3 linked regions of the Rattus norvegicus genome follow. The main gene of each other region encodes a partner of the protein of the gene in region 3 in a complex. Links are inferred from orthologs where the notes say so. Each region holds a gene or a part of one and is shown on either strand. Other genes may lie near its edges.

Region 1 (7,892 bases), on a different chromosome or scaffold from region 3:
ACGAATGTTTTTAAGGGATGAATGTGTACTGGGCTTTGTATGTTTATGTGGGCAATTATATCTTATCAACTAGGCCAAAGGTTATTGTGTTGTACGTTCTTTCGTGTGTAGATTTAAGTGTAACAGAGTGTGGGGCAGCTGGTCTGGGTCACCATGGAGTTGGGATGTGTGTTTCTGGCATGGAAACCTGCCTTGGGAGCTAGATAGGTAGAGAGAGTGCTGCCAGGCTCAGAGAGAGGCCTTCGGCAGTGCGATGTGGGATGGAGCAGAGCAGGTGAGACGCTTGCTGACTGAGAATTAAGATATCCAGCAGATATCTTGGGGCACTGAGGTGCCGGACCTAGAGGGGGATAAAAGACAACCTTACATTTTTTATTTTTTATATTTTTACAACAACAGCTGGGGTTCAGTTCTCAGTACCCACATGTGGCTCACAACAGTCTCTAACTTAAGTTCCAGGAGATCAGGGTCCTCTTCTGGCCTTTGTCAGTACCAGGCATGCATACAGAACATGGACAATACGTGCATGCAAAATACTCACACACATTAAATAAAAATAAATCTTTTTTAAAAAGTTATTTTAGGATAATATATATATAAATCCATATTGAAATCTAAGTAAGTCCCAATTATGTAAAATATGGGTAAATATAATTAAAAATAGAATTTGTACTGATAAAAATTTAGTCCAGATAAAGCATAAATATGAATATTCAACAGCATACTAAGTTAAACTATAGTTCTTAATGATTTTACTAATATATACAATTTAACTCTGTGATAGGAGAATTAGGCAAAAAGATTAACAAATGAACAAAGGGTCTCTAGGAGTGGTACTTTATCATGCTCTTTGAACCCCCTTAGGCCTAGGCATCTAGAGAATCCAGATATGTGTACTGAATTTTCAGCAATTACAAGAACCATAACCAAGTAGGGTGCCCTACTGTATGTTAAGAATGTAAAATAGGTTTACTTACTGGATAAACTGCAACGCTCTCCCTTCTTTATAAAATTCGAAGTGGGATCACAAAACTCAATTCAGAGGTTCCCTTCTGTCATTTATTCAGGCTATTCTAGTCAATTACTAAACACGTGTACTGTACCATTGTTGGGAGAGCTGTTTAAGTGGACAACTTGTTGAATTATAGGGCGGAGGACTGAACATACTATGCAAGCTAAGTGAATGTTCTACCATTGAGCTATATTCCAAACTCTCAAAGGGAAGCACACAGATGACTACAACACTATGCTTATGAGAGACAAAAAGGTGGATGCACAGTCAAGAGAGGAGACTGGCCCCAACCTGGGACTCCAAGTATCCAAGTATCCTGGGGATAGACACAGAGAGGAGTCCTGAAGGATAACAAGGAGTCATTCTACACAGAAAATGGAAGCCCATAAATCACCAACTTGTCTTCTGTGGGAGAAAACAGAAGTCACTGGCCCATTGTTTGCTTTTTTATTAATAAAATTTCATGAGGAAAAGCCACACCCACCTGTTCATGTATCACTGTTCACAGCTCATGACTGCTTCTTATTAAAATGACAAGTCATACAGTTGTGACAGAAACCAGTTGGGCCACAAAAATTATTTTATTTACTATTTCATAGAGAAGTTTGCCAAATTCTGAGCCACAAAGGTGAAGACAAAGGCTTAACAAAAGATTTGCCTATCCCTATCATCTGTGTCTAGTGCCTTGAGGTAAAACATCAGGTTGAAAGCTTTAGAAAAGAAAAGTCGGGCTGGAGAGATGGCTCAGCGGTTAAGAGCACCCGACTGCTCTTCCAGAGGTTATGAGTTCAATTCCCAGCAACCACATGGTGGCTCACAACCATCTGTAAAGAGATCCGATGCCTTCTTCTGGTGTATCTGAAGACAGCTACAGTGTGTACTTATATATAATAAATAAATAAATCTTTAAAAAAAAAAAAAAAAAAAAAGAAAAGTCATTCAGAAGAGGCCTAGTGTAAGACTCTTAACTAATAAAACCAAACCAAAACGTCCTCAGGAAAAAGGAATCAAATGGCTTGTGAAAGTAGAGATATAGGAGATCCAAAGCATCAGCCAGTGTCTGGTGGGACATTTTTCAAAAGTTGGAAGAGAGGCATTTGGGCTCCAAGTTCTTGAGTTTCAATGAAAATTCTACTGCACTGTCTCTGAAGCTAAGCCTGTACTTTTTCCCAAAGAAGTCCTCAGTGGGACTTCTTCCTGCTCTTAAAAAGCTCAGAGTTACACTGTGATACCCAATCAATAGGCTATTGATAACTCACCAAAAAAAAAAAAAAAAAAAAAAAAACCCAAAAAAACCAAACAAAAACCCACAGTGGAAATATTTTATAGGGAATGGCTAAAAGCTAGCAGCAGGAAGTAACAGGCCACACCCACATGCCCTTTTGTGTCAATGAAGATAATACCATAGTTATAACAGAATTGCATGCAGCTTCTTCATCTTGTCAAATGGCAGGCACGTAATTATCTTTCCTTCCAATTCAAACATGCTAATCCTTTCCCTGGTTTGGAATCAAATCAAAAATTCTGGCCTAACAATTAGTATATTGACTCACTAAAAAAAGAGGCTTATTATGCCATCATTAGTTCATACGATTATGGTGGGGGAGAATCCTTGTAAGTCTCCTGCAAGGTGGAGACTCGAGAAGGCCAGGGGCATACACCAATGTCGCAGACCTGATGCATTAGCCTCGGTGATGAAAAGTCCATGGTGTAGATGGAATCTTAAAGCCTAAGGACAAAGAGTGGTGAAGACTGGTCCTGGGACTCAAAGTAGGTTGGGGTAAGTTCTTCTGTCCTCCATTTGTTCTACGTAGGCTGATACTTAATTGGATGGGGCCCACTCACCTTCTACAGTCAGCACAGCAATTCAAATACCACATTCTAGAACATCCCAGAAACAGCATATAGGCAGATCTAGGAGTATCACGGCCCAGTCAAGTTGACACATGAAGTTAAACATCACAACTATGTGACAGGAGGCAATGAAATACATAATATACAACAAATTACATAAATTAGTTGAATTCACCTTACCATGGACAATAGTCTATTGATGGCCACTGCCCGTTGCTGGGCTTCTATGTGAGGCATTTCATTCTGAATTACTTGATCTGTGATTCCATGAGGGAACTGGTGGCATAATTCTATAATTCTAGGAACAAAGGTATTAATGATTTATGTTTGCTTGTTTTAAAAGGCAAAAAAGGAAGATGCATGATAGTTAAGCTAAAATCTCAGTTTTATCAATGGGAATAAGTACGGCAAATTGAATCCAAGGTCTGTGGGCAGAATGCAAATGTAGAATATGCGCACGTGTTCCTGTGCGTGTGCGTGTCTAGAGAGGGTTATAGTGATTCACCATAACTGGAGTCTGTTTGAGAAATTATCTTCTCCAAACAAACTGGAAGGATTAATTTGTTTGGAGGTGTAATAAGCTTACTACCCACAATAATAATGTTGAGAAAGTCGTTGTCTTTTTAACTACATTATAACCTAAAAACACATGTGCGCTGGGGGTTAAGGCACTCACTGAACCTACTTGGCTCAATGGTTCTTTGTAATCACAAACTGAACCCTAAATTGGCCCGAACGTTCTCTCACAGAACTTCCCTTGGCAACCGAGCAATACTGGATTCGAACACATGCCCAAGAACTAGGGGGAAAATGCAGGTCTTTTTTTCTGGCACTGGCTGCTGTCACGTTCCAAGTGCTCTAATAGAACCCCGGAGGAGCCAGTTACATAAAGTTTCAAGCTGTCACGCTGCTCTGGAGCTTCTGAAGAGTTCTACTCTCCCTAATCGGGAGGGGGACTCCCAGACAGCCGTCAACCCTGCTCCCGCGTGCTCAACTAGCCTCTTCCGTCCTCTCCCGGGGACCGAGAGAGAAGGGGTACAGCTATCCAGCTGACTGCTCGCCTAGCGTCGGGAACCTAGTTTCACTGCATTACCTGTTTTCTATTTCCACCGGATCCGCGTCCGGCGGCTGCACCTTCACCTTCACCTCCGCCATGAGGGTGGTTTTCAAGACTAGAGGAAAAGTGGCCCGGAGGAGCGCGCTGGAATTCTCGGGAACCGGTGGAGGCGCACGCCAGGGGTGGGGGCGTGGGAGGGACGAGGGACCTTCTTCCTTCGGTCGCGCCGGGCCTTCTTCATGAGGTCGGCTTGGGGCGCCCATGATGTGCCTGCTCCGCCTTGCTCAGCAGGGTCGCCGCAACTTGTCCTTTCTGTTGTCCCAAATTTCAGTACCTATCGAACGAGATCCTCTGGCTCCAGTGAGCTGAGTGAGGTCCCCTTCTTCAGTCTCTTCCAGCCGCTGAGAAGGCATATTCTTGGACACCTAAAAGAAAGTGTCGCAGAAGGAGCTGGGGGCGGGTACCAGACGGAGGCTGCAGCCAGAGACAAGGGCAGGGCTGGTTGCTAGGAAGTCGATTTCCTTGCCAATCATCTGCTCGGCTCCTGGTGGGCGGGGCGCGGTCCGCAGCGTCTGTGGTAACGCAAGCTGCTGCGGAGGAGCAGTCGTGAGGCGGTGAGAGTCTAGACACCCGGTTGGCGGCAGTGGACGTGCGTCGGGGGTCCTTATCTCTGTCCTTGAGGCTGGAGGAAGGTGAGGAGAAGGGCACCTCTCACTGGGTTGGGAGGAATCTAGGCGTCTCTGACTGCCTCGCAAGGCCAGGACATGACGCGGGTCTGGGTCTTGGTTTGGGCAGCGAGGAGGTTGGTTCAGGTGAAGGATGCTGGGAGATGCTGGTGGCATGACACCGACACCAGGCTGCAGTGTGGACCTAGCGAATCAGCCATCTCTGTCTCGTGATGGTCCATTGACCACCCCAGATTTCCAAGAGCAGCTAATAGCTAACCGTGAGCACCTCAGTCTCTAACCATCGGTGTTTATTAGAATCTAGTTTTCAGCTATCTTTATTTTAATTGACTCTCAATCGAAGGGAAATGTGAAGGTTGGTAAATCCCTCTACAACCAGCCTCATTTATGAAGGGTCAGATAGCTGTAGTTTTTATGCTTGGCCCTCAATCTGGAACTATCATAAATTCGTCTTTTAAATCTAATTATCCCACTTTCCAGAACAAGATATGTCAAAACGCAAAGATGTTCGCAGCAACATTATCATAATTCCGTCTACCAAACTTAAAAAACAAAACTATAACCTCACCATTGAACAACAAATTGTTAAATGAAAAAATTTAAGTAAGCCAGGCATGGTAGCACATGCCTTTAACCCCAGCGCTTGAGAGGCAAAGGCAGGTGGATCTCTGTGAATTGGAGGCCAGCCTGGTCTACAGATCAAGCTCCATGACAGCCAGGGCATTATATTATTTGTCTTGGAAAAAATGAGGATGCAAAATGTTGATTATAAAAGTAAGATGAATGTGTACATTATAATTGAATAATTGTGTAGCCATAATCATTGAAACAGCAGTGCAAAATGCAAATACTGGATTAAGAGGACTCCTCCCACTTCAGTGAAAAGACCCATAACGTCTCTGTACTGCTATTTACAAAACAGTAGAGCGAATAGGAAACTGTTGGTTTATAGCCATGTCAACTTCCTTTCTATTGCGAACAGATGCTCTGCAGTCTTTGCAGTATATTTCCAAAATACAATACACTGCAGTGGCAAAGGTAAGACTGTGGGGCTTAGAACTTCTTTTAAGATTTGGCTCTAAATAATTCATGCTATGTGCAGAGTTACTCGCTCCCCTTATGTAATGAGTTGCCTTGAAGTCAGGAGAGTGAGTGTGTATGTGTGCCCTTGCTGAAGGCAGTGAAGAGTGAATGATCTCGAGGGAAGTGAGCTCAGAGCATTAGTGGTGGATTCTGCTCTGCCTCATCCATTAACCTGCCCTTTTAAAGCAGCTCCAGTCTCCTATTGAATTTGACTGCTTGCCTTTATGAGATGTAAAGTATTTAGCTGAATATCCAACTCCAGACCTCAAGAGCAAACATACAGCTAAAATGTAAAGATTTCATTCATTAAATGGGGCATTATCTGTAGGTGGCATATCAATGATCTGTTCTTTAGGCTTTACTGGCTTCCTCCATTTAAAATACGTAGCACTCTGTAGTTTTCATGTTCGGGAATAGGTTCATGATGGAATTTTTAAATCTATCTTTTTATATAAGGAGAGAACATGACTGCTGGTTCAGTGTGTGCCCCTCAGATCATACCACTGCGAGTGCCTCAGCCTGGAAAAGCTAACCATGAAATTGATACCAATACTCTTTTGGAAATGAAATCCGGTAGGAATCACATGCATTTTCAATTATTTAAAATAACACCGTCATACTCTGTGTTCATGTGTTACTAATATCTTTGCATGTTTTCTATATTGGGGCTTTAGAAGTTTGCAAATCTTCCATATATTGAAAGTGTTGTTCTTTGGTGATTCGTAGAGTGGCATGTATGTGTTTGTTTATCATGAGATGAGATCTTATGTGACCAAGATCAGCCTTGAATTCAATACATAGCCCAGCTGAACTTGAACTTGCAGCAAACCTCCTGTCTCAGCCAGGAGACAAACAGGTTGCTAGTGGCAACACCCTCTTGACTCACCCGAGTCAAGGTGAGATATCCAGTTGTATTCCCAACCTTTCTCAGGATGCTTATTACTTTGCTGAGATAATAAATTTGACCTACAAAATACAGATTTTTTTTTCTGGTATAAATAGAGATTGAATTCCGGTTTGACAACCTTGCCGGCCTTGGGCCCATTACTCAATTTTTCTGAGTGTCAGTGTCCTCATGCTAAGATGGGACAACCATACTTACCACCAGGAGCACTTGGAGGATTAAATGAGTAACTGTGTACTAGTACCTATCCACTGCTATATTGAGTTGGTTTATCTGGGGCATGCAAGACTTAGCTCATAAAAAACCTCAACTATTAAATCTGTGTAGATGTTTATATATAATCCACCTAAAGACGTTTCATAAATAAGCTATATAAAGTACTTGCATTGAGATGTTTAGATTCCAATTACATAAATATCTACCTAATTCTGATGGTTTAAATGTATAAAACTTGTTTATCTGCACTTATAGAGATATTTCTGGACTGCTTAGTCAAAGATTTTGAAGAATGAACCATATATTGTACCATGCTCTCTTTTATCTGAAAGGCTAATGTGTTTAATAATTTAGACATATGAACTTATAACTCTTAGAAGAAGTAGGGGTATTATTGAAAATTGATGGCATGAATGATAGGGGTCTCTATACTCTAATATTTAAATGTCAAATAAACAGAGTTGCCACAGAGAATAATAACCCAGTGGGCAAAAGAGGTGGTTATGTGAAGCCTCTGATGCCAACCCTGGGGAGGCCAAGATAGGAGAACAGTGACTCTGAGGCCAATCTGTGCTTCCTTATGAGACCCTTCAGGGTCCTCGAAATAGAGATAAAAATGTGTACACATATGGAAAGGAAAGAAGAGAATTTGATTTAACATAATATCTATTATTAGCTTATAACGATGTTAAAAAAAAAATAAGTCTTGGGGCTGGAGAGATGGCTCAGCGGTTAAGAGCATCGACTGATTTTCCAGAGGTCCTGAGTTCAATTCCCAGCAACTACATGGTGGCTCACAACTATCTGTAATGGGATCCGATGCCCTCTTCTGGTGTGTCTGAAGACAGCTACAGTGTAGTATATTCACATATATACAATAAATAAATCTTTTAAAAAATAAATCTTAACTATTACAAAGTAGAGATATTGGATATTAGATATTAGAAACAAAGTAGTAGATAGCACTTATTATTAAATCTGCTTATATGTGTATATAGATGTAAGTAATGTAAATGTCAGTGTAAAGAAGTTTTATAGATAAGACATGAACAAATATTTATATTAAAAGACTTAGAGGGG
Region 2 (7,892 bases), on a different chromosome or scaffold from region 3:
ATGGAACTTCTCACATATAAATACGTCCACCTTATGGAGTAATACCATGAGTGGTTTGTTACTCTTCTTTGGTAGAGGATTTCATGCTTATGGCTACTTTTAAATTCCTATCAAAATCATCCAGAAAGTCCAACTCACAGAATAGTATTGTTTATTAATCATACAAGGTGAATCATGTAATTCCAGAATTTTAAAGTGACTTTCAGTATGTTTATAAGTATTTTCACAATTTCTCTAAAAAGAAAAAAATCAGGGCTAGAGATACAGCCAGTACTTATCTAGCATGCATGAGGCTCAGAGTTCAATCCCTGCACTGCACAGAATGAAAATGGTTCATATGTAGGAGGGTCAAGATCATCATGGGCGGTGGTGGCACCCAGCACTCCAGAGGCAGAGGGAGGTGGATAATGAGTTCAAGGTCAACTTGGTCTACACAGCAAGGGCAGCGCAAGGACTACACAGAGAAAACCTGTCTTGAAAAACTAAAAAACAAAAAAGACTGGCTAAAACCCAAGTTCCAAGTTCGAATGTAGGACCAGGACCTGAGCCAAGTGACATCCTTGCGTGGAGCTCCCAAGGACCTGAGAGCCGCTAACTTGCAGATGAGCTCTATTCACCCAGGTCCTTCACCACAGAAGATCGGCTTCCTACCATACAGTAAAGACCTTCAGCACACAGAAATCATGCTCACAGCTAGGCAAGTCCGGCCCTAATCCCTCCAGCGATGTCCACACTGAGCATTGCAGCACTTATAGAAGGTGGTCATTGGCTCGTCCGCAGAACGGGTCTGAAGCTGCATGAAGTAGGCACGAGGATGCTCACATTTTGGACATGGCTCTGGCAAACAGAAAAGCAAGTTTCCACATTACAAACACTGTTAAATGTGGGCAAACATTTCATCCTCATGCTCATCTACACTCCTCTGCCAAAGGCGAGGTTGCCAATAGCAACACCCTTTCCACAGCACATCAACAAGGAGACCAGAGAGACCTTGTTTTATAAAAGCAACAAAAGTCCTGAAATTTGAAAATGAGTAGAGGCTTAAGGTCTTTTTGAACCCCCTCCCCTTCCATCCCTGGGTTCCACTTCCCTTCTCAAATCTGGTTGAATGGCTGGAAATAGCCTGGGAAGGGTCTGTTATTGTCTCCTTTGTGGGAATGTAACAAAAACACAGCCCACTGAGGTAGCCGGCGGCCAGAATCTAGCACTTGGGAAACTGAAGTAAGAAGCTTGCAACAAAGCCAGCCTGGAATACACAGCAAGATTCTATCCTAAAGATAAACAAATAGCTTAAAACAAACACATAAAGGCCTCAAAGTCACTCAGTAGCTAAAATAAGATTGAGATGATCTTCCTGTCTCCATCGCTCAGCTGTGCTACCGTCCCTAGCTAATGACAACAGAGGAGATCTGGATATTCCTCTACAGAGGAAAAGATTGCCAATCACACATGTGCTCGTCCTTCTAAAAGAGGTACTAGGCCATTTTCTCTCATTCCATTATCACATTTAAATTTATCAAACAAATCAAGATGTAAACATTTACTTTTTAATACCTCCAGTTGCAAATATCAACCCCCCCCCCTAATTTTTTATAATTATTTTATGTGCATGTTTTGCCTTTGGGTAGTCTGTGCACCACGTTCATGCAGTGTCCCTGGATGCAAGTAGAGGGTATTAGATCACCTGAAAGTACAAGTACAGAAGGTCTGAGCTGCCAGGTGGAAGTTGGGAAGGAAACCCAGTCCCATGCTCTCAACCACTGAAATCCTACCCCACAGCTATTTATCGGTTGACAGAATGGCTGAGCCAGGGTCTCAAAAAGCCCAGATAAGCACTGAGCCTTCTGCCTCCACTCAGAGAGCACCAGAATCGTAACTGGAATCATAAGCTTGAGCAACCATCCTTCGTCCACAGTTATAATTTTTTTAAATCCATGTAATAAAAAATAAAACGAAATGAAAATAAAAGACTAGGGCTGATCATTTTCTCAGTGTTGGTATTTGAAAATACATACAACACAATTTTCATGAGAAGTCCACACCCACTAGAGCATGGATCCCCCCTTCCCAACAACTATATATAAATCAATGCTGAAATTTTTTGTAATGAACTCTAAATTTGCTTCAAAAAGAGAATATTTGCCAGATTTATTTTTTAATTATACTTGTCCACATCGGACTTGAGACTCTAAATGAAACAACGGTTCAGGTATCACTATAGTAACTTTGCTTTAAAGAATCCTTGAAAGAATCTACTTTTAAAAAAATGTTATTACAGCCAGGTGTCAGTGGCAGATACTTTAGTACCAGCATGTGGGAGGCAGACAGGTGGATCTCCGAGGTCAAGACACTCAGAGCTACACAGTGAAACCAGGTCTCAAAAAAACAAAATCAATTAACAACAACAAAAATGTAAAAGACTTTAGAGTGCCTACACTGTAATTAAAACACATCACCAAAATATTTCATGCACTAGCTATTTGATATTACATTGTTATTTACATCTTCTTAAGTTCTTTTACACTTGTGCACGCCCATGTGTGCATGGAGGGTGGTACAAAATCTTCCCATGAGTCAGTTCTCTCCTACTATCTGGGCTCCAAGAATCAAACTCAGGCTAACAGATCTGGCAACAAGTGCTTTTACCAGGGTATCTTGCTGGCCCTAATAACAGACAGGACTGCATTATAATACTAAGTTTATTATTAGTATTAAACACCGAGGGCTGGAAATACAGCTTTCTGGGTTCCAACACAAGCACCACACACACAAACTAGCGAAACAATATAAATATAAAATATAATAATAAGTAATAACAAACAAGGTTGAGTCACTGGCTCTGTTACGGGAAAATCCTCACCTGCAGTAGAGTCCACATTCTCCCAGGCAGCTGCTCCACCAAGCACATCATCCACTTCTTTTAGCTTTGGATACTTTCGGTTTGTTACCTAACAGACACAAGCCACCAGATTGGAAGTAATTGTACAGTTTTACAAGTCGGTCACTAAGCCACAACTCCCTCCAGCATTTCCTCTACAAAATTTGTCTTCTTCAAAGAGCAGTGTGAGTCACTAAAATGTAGGGGTTTTGTGACTCGGATGTTCCTCCAAACAGAACAGAGGTTCTAGAGGTTCAGACCTCTAGAGACCGAAGGAAACACCAGACAGAACTGAAAGGAAAAAACAGCCTAGTAAAACCTTGCTCTTCTCTCATACCCCTAGGACACCTAATAATCCAACAGGAAAGACAGACAAATGAAGTCACTTAGCTGGGTATACCAGCACCCCAGGTCACATTTGGATGCTTTCCTATGTTTATCAGGCATCCCTGGAAATTAGAAATTCTGTCACAATTCATCTTACCACAAATCCTGACTCTAAACCCCTACCACACAGCTCTAATGTGCAAACATTAGGAACGAGGAGTCACCAAGGCCCAGTGCTGCACAACTGCAGTCACTGAACTAAGGCACGGAGGTAAAGAGGAACGGGAATTAAGGTACACAAAACACCGAGGGCTGGAAACACAGCTTGCTGGGTTCCAACACAAGCACTACACACACAAAGTAGCAACAACGATATAAAACATTAGAAGACAATGAATTCTGTGAAAACCTTAAGGGAATGAGGATAAACAGAAAGAACTGGGTTTGGCTTTTCTGTGCTCTGTGTGTGCTATGCAGCCCAGATGAGCCTTGAACCTATTCTCCTGCCGAGTGCTAGAATTATAGGTGCACAAACAGCCGCACGGGCTGACATTTAAATAAGGCAGCCATTATTTTAAAAGAGGAGAGGGAGAGAGAAACAGGGAGGCACACATGCACCAGAGACGGGGGAAGAGGGAGACGAGAACGAGAAGTGCGTCACTCTGCGTAGTTATTCAGGGAAGACCGACTCGGGCGGAGGGAAGAACCTGACAGCACTGCGTGCAAGAAGATTCTCAGGAATCAAGATAGGGGATGGGAGCAAACGAGCAACTAAAGAACCCGAGGATTTGAAATCAGAGGTGAGGAGCGGACTGGAATCTGCGAGGTCCAGCGTAGGGGGATGAACTAAAATTCGCACAATTTCTGAGCGGGCAGCGGGGAGGTCCGAGCGCGCCGACGCCTGCCCTGGGCCCCGCGGACCGCAGGGAGAGCTCCGGCCTGTGGACCTCACCTTGCGGGTGATGTTATGGACGTACGGGCACGTGTTGCAGGCGAAGCGGTGACAGCGCTGCCCCTCCTCCACAATGAGGCCGTTCCCGCAGCCCGGGCAGAACAGCAGCATTGCTCAGCTCCCACACGGCGGCTCTGTGTGGCGCTGCCGAGGTTCAGGCGCCCAATCTGAAGCCGTCTCCCTTCCTCCGTTACGGGCAACCGGCGATCGGCAACACGTTCCCGGTAGGCACTGCGGCGGGCAGCCTCGCGCATGCCATTGGTCACCGCCGATGACCCTTCCCCATCCAGCCAATTGCATGCTGTCTGCACTCGCTGTCCGTGTAGCTTCTGCGCGTGCGCACATCTCCCTAGCTGAAACGCAAACTAATGGTGCCGGCAGATGGCAGCACCTGGGGAGCCTGATGGTGGTGAGCCGGACTGGGTGATGAGGTGCTGCTGAGCTGCAGTATCTAGGCCTGGAAACTTCTACCCTCTGTAAAATCTAATTCAGGCCTAGAAGGTTTTCAGCTTCTGAGACTCACTGCGGAATAAGCGCACCCCTTCTAGTTCTGAGCGCTGGTTGGCTGGTTCAACTCAGCTGTTCCGGCTCAAACTGATTGAATTTGGCTTCTCTCTCTCAGCCTTTCCTCAATTGCTCTGCTTGGCCTCATACTAACTTTGACAATCTGTTCTAATCTTCTGGCACATTCTGTCTTCATCTGTGTCTAGTTTGTTCTCTGTAAAAACTGTCCCAGGAAAACTGCCTCCTTCTCTCTCATGAGAGTTGGGCATACCCTATTCTGTACAAAAAAACAAAACAAAACAAAACAAAAAAAACAAAAAAAAAACTCTCTAATTCCCCACTTTGTCGGACACTCAAACATCACTTTTAAAAAAAATGATTTATTTATTTAAAGTACACTGTAGCTATCCTCAGACACACCAGAAGAGGGCATCAGATCTCATTACAGACGAGATGAGATGTGGTTACTGGGATTTGAACTCAGGACTTCTGGAAGAACAGTCAGTGAACCACTGAGCCATATCTCCAGCCCTAGACATCATTTTCAAATATGGGTGATACCTTCTACAATCTAACCTGACCTTCATTGTTGGGCATTAAAGGAGCATTCTAAGGGCGTGTCTGTATTCCAGCCAGCGGGATTAAAGGTTGTGTGCCAAGGGCCGAGTCACACCACAACTAGAAACAGGTTTTTCCAGTAAACACAATCCCAGAGTTCATGGTATGATAAAGAAAAAGCCTGCAACAATGAACCTCCAGCTTCCAACCTTAGTCCTGAAGAGCTGATCTAAAACAGCTGGATGGTAGGTATTCCAGTAATAGCCTGAGGTCTACCATGTAGATTCTGGAGGCCCATGCGCAACACATGCACACTTTTCCTAGTCACTTGTGTCTCCTTGTTCCCAAATATTTGCAGGTGAAGAGGCTAAAGCATGGAGCCCCAGCTCAAGTCTCTGTTGGTTAACTCTGCATGTTTCTTTGAGGGATTCTTGGGGGGATAATTTAGGGGCTCTGATCATTATTTTACTAGGAACTGAGAAGCAGCTCAGTACAGGTGGGAGACCCATCATTATCTTTGCAAGGATTCTTGACAGAAGTGTGAAGAATGCAAACTACAACCCATGCCCAGAACAGGACTTCAACAACATCCCTCACAGGATGATCCAGAAAATAAAGTTGAAAGTCAGAGGCGATGTGCCCCAGGCAGCCACAGAGACTATCACATTGTTGCCTCCTTAGAATATCAAAGGGAACTGCTTTTTGTAAAGCCTCAGATTTTCTTTTTGTCTGCAAAACCCTCCATAGTAAATGGATATACACAGCTGTGTGATGGCTATTATTGGTTGTCAACTTGACTACATCTGGAATGAACTACAATCCAGAAATGTGAGGGCACACCTGTGATCCAGACCCTGAGACTGGAAGACCGGTTTCTGACCTGGATCTTGACCACAAAAAGCTTAGGTTCAGGTTAGGTAGCGCACTCTCTCTCTCTCTCTCTCTCTCTCTCTCTCTCTCTCTCTCTCTCTCACACACACACACACACACACACACACACACACACACACACACACGTTTAATCCCAGAAGATGCAGATCTCTAAATTCAAGGTCATCGTGGGACAAAACAAGTCCACACACACACACACACACACACACACACACACACACACACGTTTAATCCCAGAAGATGCAGATCTCTAAATTCAAGGTCATCGTGGGACAAAACAAGTTTCAGATCCAGGCGCGGTGGTACACACCGTCTGCTGGAGGCCACACGTAAGGACATTGGAAGAAGGAAGATTCACTCTTCTTCGCAGCAGCACATCTGTTGGAACTCACTCTATGGAAGACCAGCATAAACACCTAGCCTGTGGGACTGAGCAACTACTAGATTCTTGGGCTTCCCACTGTTGGGTTAGTTGGACTACAGGCTGTAAGTCATTACAATAAACCCCTTAATATATTGAGACATTCCATAAACTGGGTGACTCTAGTGAACCCTGACTAATACACCTTGTGAACTTATTTAGTAAACTCTAACATTGTTGAGACACAAATGTATTCATCTATGTTTCTAACATGGGGGCACTTACAACACACTGGAATGGATAACATCATTCACCACCTCCAGGCCTCAGCCCTTCCTTGATCCTCACCTTCACCACAGACCCTTGACCTATCCGATCTTAAGTGACCAAAAAACAAAACAAAACAAAACAAAAAACCAAAACAAAAAGCAAACCCAAACCTTTCAGGAAAAAAAAGCCTTCTTGTGATTGCTTTTCTTGTTTTCTGAAACAGGATCCTACATGAAGCCCAGATTGGCCAGGAGCTCCCAACCCAAATGCCTTTACCACTCTGTGCCACTGACCCCGAAAGTCTAACAATTCTTGCTGTTCCTTATCTGTTCTGTCTCCATGACATCATTACCTCCCTGTTTCTATCACTAGTTCACCAATGCCTTATGTTCAGTTTTCAGTTAAGTCTCAAACCTCAGCATTCAGATTTATTACTGACATACAGGTTCTCTATATGAACATTTATACGAGTATGAATCTCTATGAGATTCATGCTAATTAAAGCAAATGCTCAATGTATTGTTTCCCTTGAACATTCTCAAAATATGAGTACATGACTAAAATAGCAAATAAAGTTGTTCTTCAGAGTTCTCTTTTACAAGTACTATAAATTAAACAATACAAGTATCTGGTGAAGGAAAATTTAATGTGGAAAAAGAGGTGTACCAGTAAAATTGTCTTTAAATACTTATTTGATATGCATGTTTGTTCTCCCTGCATGAACGTAAGTCACCACATGTGTGCCTGGTGCTCATAGGACGTCAGAAGAGGAAGTCAGAACCTATGGAACTGGAATTACAGTCGGTTGTGAGCTACCATGTGGGTGCTAAGAACTGAACCTTCTGCATGGGCCATCTCTCCGACCCCATTATAGAGTCTTAAAAAGAATGTAACCAAGAATCCCATACTCAACACAGAAGCAATACTGAGAATAAAATGTCTTAACACTTTTTTATTGATTCATTTGTGTTTACCCATGTTTCCCCTCATTTAAAAAAAAAAAATCAGTGTTTCTAATTTCTTGGATTTTCAACTTTAAGTTCCACGTTGACAAATCTATTTTTATGTACACCTTTGATTCTTACATTACAACAGAAGTCACATGTTTAAAAATACCCACTCCTTAAAACATAGTCATTGTCAATATTTTG
Region 3 (6,604 bases):
CACACTGTTCCACACTTACCTGGTTCCATTTGCACCTTTATGCAAACAGTAGGAGACGATGGAGTTAATAGAATGTTTGCTATGGTCTGTGTAAACAGTTGAGACCGCTACAGAAAGCAGGCTGCTGTATAAGGTAAAGTGGCCTTAGAAACCCAACAGTAAAATGTTCAATTTGGTTTAATAAAATTGGCAGAAGTCTTAGCAGAGAGAAACTCTAAGACTAATTATTAGCTTCTAGGCATTTTAAATATTAAAAACCTTAAGGTTCTCTTCATCTTGTAAACATAACTTTAACTATGTTGGCATTCATTTAAAAGAGGAAAATATTAAACCATGATTTTCATAATCCTGCCCATGTCAGTGTACACTCTCTTTATTATGAGAATGAAACCCAATAAGCAAAATACATCAGGAATTTCAAATTGTACTGCAAAGAAGGCCCGGCTGGTCTCTGTTGGGAGCGATCTCACTTACGCTGACCCTGCCACTGGCTGAGTGTGAGCCCCTCTGTCCTCTGGGCCAGGCAGTGCCACAGGCCACCAGGTGGGCAGATCCTCTTCCTGTGTCTTGAGGCAAGTCGAGACTACGTGTGGCTCTGCCGTCCTTCCCTGGGCTTGGGTTCGTTGAGTTAGTGGTTTGCTACTATTGTCAGGATTGTACTGTCCCCTTAAGGTACCACATGCCACCACAGCTTACACAACAGTCCTAGAAATTAAGAAAACTGGGTAAGGGCAGGTTCCGGCAGGAGAGAGCTATTGCTGTCACAGCCTGACTCACGATTAGCGGACAGAGTGCAAACAGGACATCAAAACCTGCCTAAGTGTGCTGTTGGGTAGCCGCTTTGACCCTATCGGGTTTCCAGCCACCATACCTCAGGGACATTTTAAGATGTGTTACAGATTTTGCTGTATCAACAGAAAAAAACTTTTCAAGTTGACTACGACAAGGGACATATTAATAAGGCCTATTGTCTACATGACTAAAGGTAACAGGGAATGGGGCAGTGGCTTTCTGTGCCCACCTCTACAATGCACACAGTTCATGAGAGCATTCAAAGTGTTTTCACATTAAGCAAACAGAAACTCCTCTTTGTCGTTGTTGTTTGGAGGCACGGTTTCTCTCTGTAGCCCTGGCTGTCCTGCAACTCACTCTGTAGATCAGCCTGGCCTCAAACTCAGATCTGCCTGCCTCTGCCTCCTGAGTGCTGGGATTAAAGGTGTGCGCCACCAGTGCCAGGCAGTATCCCTTTTTTTTTTTTTTTCTTTTTTTTCGGAGCTGGGGACCAAACCCAGCCTAGCAAGCGCTCTACCACTGAGCTAAATCCCCAACCCCCAGTATTCCTTTTTTAATTAAAATTAAAAAAAAGATTGTACTGTCAATTATACAAGTGGGTGCAAGATGATGTACACCTCCTCATACCCAGTCCAACTCTGCGGCATGAAAAGGCTCACTTTCCTGCCAGGGTACCAGTGCTAGTCACTGCCAGTTGATGGCCATCAGACTGGTGGGCACTAGGGCTAAGCTGTTCTGATTTACTATATACACAGCGGGAACAAAGATACCAGACACAACCTTTCCACGTATGTGTGTCCTTAAAACAACAGGTCAAAGTCACAGCCTAGATGCTCTGCGTGACATCTTGTGCACAATGGACATACCTTTAGCACTTTATCCACCTCCTGCTTGCTTAGCTCTTCTCCACATTCTTGAGTCAGCCGAGACTGGATCATATTCCGACGTACTCGGTAATTTTTGGAAAATATTTCAAGCAAAACCTGTCGATGCTTTATTTAATTTAAAAAAAAAAAGTGTTAGTTCGATAGTGATAGTATCCCAAATGTGAACTATCCCCAAACAAAAGATCCAAAATGATGGCGCTGGCCCCACCTTGCAGTGTCTAGTGGCTTAGCACTCCTGGTTAAAGATTAGCAAGACCGACCTATTGGTCACTGTTGCAGACTTCAGTGAAGGAACTCAGGATGAGCAGTTTGGACATACAAGGAAGTGAGCAGAAGCATCTAGTTTAGACTGGGTGGGGGAAAGGTATCTAAATTGGTTCAAAGTCTAGACACAAGCATAACACTGAATCCAGGAAACTGGAAAATGCACCAAACTCCTAAAGAGACATTAAATAGCAGAGGACAAATAAGGCCATCCTCAAAACAGAAGGGAAGAATGAAAACTGACTGCAGAGGGTGATGACTCACACACACCTCACAATCCCTGTTGGGAAAGGGGCATCAGCATGAGTTCAAGGCCAGTCAGGGCTACAGTGAAAAATTCTGGTCTCAAAAAATGGGCAAAGACGACATCTAGTAGGTTTAATAGCTCAAATGTCTATAAGGATTCAAAAAGGTAAAGAAATTTATCAGCCTACAGGATTCTCTAAGAGCCCAACTGTCTAGTAAATAAAGAATTCAGAATACATCAAGGTCCTACCAGTGTAGGGAACAATATACGCCATGCAGTTTGCAGTTAAGGGAAGATCTCACGAGAAGAGTATCACTGAATTTCAACTTTGAAATGATTACGATACCCTCTTCCTAACGGGGGGAAATTATTTGCCCTGTAAAATTTTAGTTCTATTAGTACCAGCAGTACTTGAGGGCAGAAAGAAAGAACGCTGTCGATATCCCATCAGAGGCTAAGACTCTAGACACAGGAAGAGCCACACATGGAGAAGCAGTGTCCTCACATTCCACAGGAGTCGTGCTGCTGGTCTGCTGGGGTCAGAACAGCAGACTAGTGCACAGAGGAAGTGAGCGGTGAGATGGCTCAGCAGAGAAGGTGCCTGAAGGCCTGAGCTGGCTCTCTAGCCCCACATGTTGGAGAGGAAGCAGTAACTGCAGCATGAACATGTTCTGTGCACTAGCATGTGGTAACCACTGATCGGCTCACAGTCACAAACAATCGGTCACCTCTGAGGGCAGAGTCAGCTTCCCCACAGTTCTTTAGGCCCTGTTCAGTTTTAAATGAACTTACTACTTTTTTTCCCTTAGTGATCTGAGAAGCTAAGTAGGAAAGCCTCAAGCTACCTTTCTTGGCCAAAAACAGGGTCACTTCAGGACTCCTGTTAGAAGCGAGGCCTCATACCCACTCTTGCTCTCAGCCTTCCTGTCCCCCTGGCAAGTAAAAGGGAAACAGGCTTCAACAGGATTCACTCCTGTCTCAACCTGACTGGCATGTCTGCTAAAACCAAAACACTTTAATCTTTGGAATTCAGGCAAGTTCATGATTTAAAGGCATCTGGACCTCAGCTCTTTCCCAGAGCTGAACTACCCAAACACTGGAGACAGGATCGCAGAACAAAATAACCAAACTCCAGGTTTAAGACAGCTAATAAAAAAGCCACTGAGAACTCTCCTCTGCACGTGGTTTCCAAGCCTGCCTGCATCACTATCATAGAGCTCTAAAGCTCAGAGTGAGGCCACCATACTGCTGGAAACAGTCATCTTTTCAAAGGTGATACTGTTCTAATTCGACAGACATCCACCCAAGTTCAGGGGCAAACCACTGGCACACATGGCCTATCTTGGAGTGACTGGAAAACCTGACATGTCCAACTATACTCTAGTGTCAAGATTCTAATAGCCTCAACCTTCTAGGACTCCCGCTCTTAAAAAAGAAAGACGACAAAAAAAAAAAAAAAAAAAAAAAAAAAAAAAGGCACCTCACCTGGTCACTCATGTCTCCAGACTCCCAGAGGGCAAATACCTTCTGCTCATCAGGGGAAGCAGCAGTCTGTGGGGGAAACTGGCCCAAGCATGAGCTGGTCATTTCTCTGCCTTGTGATCTGCTGCCCTGCCCACTTCAACCCACCTAGCCTGCAACCCAGCCCTAGGCAAGAGCGGTCGAAGCCTAGTTCTCCCACTCACTGGCTCTGAGATGACAGTGCGACAACAGGTATTGGGATGGCATTAGTGTGTGTGATGCTGCTTTGAGGCATCTACCTGGACTTCTACTCTAAAGTCTCCTCTTCCCTAGCATTCCTCAGGGCTTCCGGTCAGCTGTTTCCCACAAGGGCAGCATAAGAAGTGTGGCTAAAACAGGATGTTGGCAGACTCCCAAGCCTTTTATACCACTTGCTTCAGGGGCAACCAGAGGATGACAGTCCTGGCACTTAAAAAGATCAGGGAAAATGCCAGCATTGTGCCTATAGCCTCCTTTCTGTAGTTGGTACTAGTGCTCACTAACACATAAAGACTGGCACAGGACTTGAGCAGCACTGAGGCGTCGCTTGCCCTGCCCATTCGCCATATCAAGTTCAGAGCTGTTCACTGTCTACAGGTACTTAGCTCAGAGTAGTAAATCACAAGTTAAACTCGGGTCTTTAACTTGCCTTTTCTTCTTGGACATGCTATGAATATGGCCCTTGGGGTCAAACTGCTCCACACAAGCCTGGGATGTTCTCTAGATGCCAGCACTTCTGAGAGGAAGGAGCATGGCCAAGGAAATTCTGAGGTGGGCAGGAAAGAGCACCACTTTCATAGAAGGTTCCTCATCCTCCATCCATGTGGGTAGCCTAGGCAATCCCACTTCTACCAGGCTAGTATCCTTTTCTTGCCCAGTACACAGAAAAGTAGGCCTGTAGAATACTGGCTGCACTTAGGGTAGCCAGGAACCCAATGCCAGCATCTTACAAAAGCAAACCTTGGCAAGGAAATTCCACCAACAGGGGGCCACAGAGCCTCTTGTCTTGTTCCTTACACACAGAGGCAGGGCCTTGGCCTAAGCATCGTCCTAGGCTAGGCACAGGTGCGTGTGAGCTTGGTGCTGCACACGGTATACTCCCTATCTATAAGACAGCATAGTCACCTCCCTTCTGTCCTAGCTGATTTGCTTCCTGGGCTGGCTAGAGCCTAGGAATGAGCCACGCAGCTTCCTTCACACTGTACCCAAACACTCCTTTCCATCAAAGGCAACAGTCTCTGGCCCCACTGTGGAGCCCACTCCATGGGACGGAAGGACCTGAAGTAGAGGAGGCTCATTCACCACCTCGATGCCTACTGCAGAGGCTGGAGCTTATATGGTCAAAGAGCCTAAAGGCCAGGGAAGCCATGGTTTCCCTATGTGGGGAAGTGCTAAGCTACCTTCTGTGAAAGCAAGCTTAGAGCCTCCAGACTGAGGTTCAAATTCTAGCTGTGTCACTCATGCCCTAGAGACTAACTAAATACCAATCAGGTAAAGGCTTATGTTTAATGAGGCCCTGATAGTGCCTGCGGAATCTCATATTCTTACCTTCCTATGGTAGAAAAACTAACACACCCACTTCAGATGAGGTCAGGAAGCCATCTGACAAACACAACATGTACCCTATCCACATGCAGCCTCAGAGCCACTGTCCCTAAGACAGACACACAGGTTTCTCCCCATGCTTCTTGATTCCTAAGAAGGTGAAGATTGCCCAGCTGCCCTCCTGAAGGCTCTGACTGACCCTGGCCTGGCAGACACAGGCTTTACTTACAGGCACCAGTATCTGCTTGCAGCCAGCGGCCAGCACCGTATCCTGTAGCATTCGGTCTGAGACACCACTGAAGAGTGTGTGGCCCGGGGGCAGGCCTGCCAGGTGCAGGTTGAAGAGGCGCTTGAGTTCGCTCAACGTGAGCACAAACTGTCTCTGAAAGGTGGCTTCCACAAAAGCCTTCAGTTCCCGGGCAACCGGGTTGCTGGCACAGCCTGGAATTGGGTGCCCATTTAGGCTGTCCCCACCCACTGCCCGCCCAGCAGGCAGCCCATTGGCCAACTTGGTGCTGAGGCAACTACTGGGTGCAGTGTCCATGGGTTCTTCTTCCTCAGCCTCCAGCTCATCCCCATCGGCTTCCTCCTCACTCAGGGGTTCCTCCTTGATCTGCACGCTGGGCAGGACTGTGGTTCCCCGAATCTGCTCCTTCCGTCGCTGCAGCTCACGCTCCAAGAAAGCATGGTTCTGCTGGGCCTTGGTTTTGGCTGTTTGGACCCGCTGTTCCCCAGAGACAACAGGCGCTGTGTAGACAGACAATATGGCTCAGAAGGGCACAGATCTCAGACAGACAAAGCATGAAGACAGAGAGCAGGGGACACCAGAAGACAGCTCCTGAAGGAAGAAATCATGTGCTGTCTTCCACCTTTCCTTGCTCAGGAGAAATTTTGCTATCTAAACTGAGGGGAGAAATCTAACTGGGCACAAAATTACAGAGCCCTGCTGTAATTCTAGCAGCTCCTATAAGACCACCCGCTGATCCAACAGGTCTCAGAATCCACTCTGCCCTGAAAGACACAGTACCCTCCTGGGGTAGGAGTGAGTAGACCACTGAGGCTGTCCTGCTGGACAAGCAATAGGCTAACTTGGTGGTAGGGTGGAGACAGAAGAAAGGTCAGCACAGAGAGGATGAACTTTGAAAACAACATGGCCCCTTCTGGGCCAGGGCCCAAGATGGAAGCCCACCCAGCCTTGAAGCACACACCTGATGGTCCATCCGGCTTCTTTGGCATGGTTTCTTTTACGAGATTATAGACTTTTTCTAATCTGAAAAAAAGAACAAACCCTTTAAACTCTAACCTGTACGTTGTACTGCCTCGTCAGAGGAACAAGCCCCAACCCAGGGCACTGGGCCATCAAAACACT

What was found.
Region 1: Polr3e (region 3) and Polr3f share a complex: the UniProt entries of both Homo sapiens proteins name them as parts of the RNA polymerase III complex. The link is inferred for Rattus norvegicus from reciprocal best matches to the Homo sapiens genes POLR3E and POLR3F.
Region 2: Polr3e (region 3) and Polr3k share a complex: the UniProt entries of both Homo sapiens proteins name them as parts of the RNA polymerase III complex. The link is inferred for Rattus norvegicus from reciprocal best matches to the Homo sapiens genes POLR3E and POLR3K.

Annotation. Positions count from the first base shown.
Region 1 is NC_086021.1:152,358,138-152,366,029, reverse strand, and holds the start of Polr3f (DNA-directed RNA polymerase III subunit RPC6), read right to left. Parts: upstream 4,233-7,892; 5' UTR 4,187-4,232; coding exon 3,960-4,186; intron 3,165-3,959; coding exon 3,047-3,164; intron 1-3,046. Other genes in the region: Dzank1 (double zinc ribbon and ankyrin repeat-containing protein 1), read left to right, coding at 6,157-6,265. UniProt on the Homo sapiens protein: DNA-dependent RNA polymerase catalyzes the transcription of DNA into RNA using the four ribonucleoside triphosphates as substrates.
Region 2 is NC_086021.1:189,356,789-189,364,680, reverse strand, and holds Polr3k (DNA-directed RNA polymerase III subunit RPC10), read right to left. Parts: upstream 4,333-7,892; 5' UTR 4,269-4,332; coding exon 4,158-4,268; exon of another isoform or gene 4,156-4,157; intron 2,949-4,155; coding exon 2,861-2,948; intron 838-2,860; coding exon 710-837; 3' UTR 135-709; downstream 1-134. UniProt on the Homo sapiens protein: Core component of RNA polymerase III (Pol III) which synthesizes small non-coding RNAs using the four ribonucleoside triphosphates as substrates. Can mediate Pol I proofreading of the nascent RNA transcript.
Region 3 is NC_086019.1:184,918,866-184,925,469, reverse strand, and holds part of Polr3e (DNA-directed RNA polymerase III subunit RPC5), read right to left. Parts: intron 6,506-6,604; coding exon 6,444-6,505; intron 5,983-6,443; coding exon 5,465-5,982; intron 3,754-5,464; coding exon 3,676-3,753; intron 1,785-3,675; coding exon 1,659-1,784; intron 706-1,658; coding exon 649-705; 3' UTR 1-648. UniProt on the Homo sapiens protein: DNA-dependent RNA polymerase catalyzes the transcription of DNA into RNA using the four ribonucleoside triphosphates as substrates.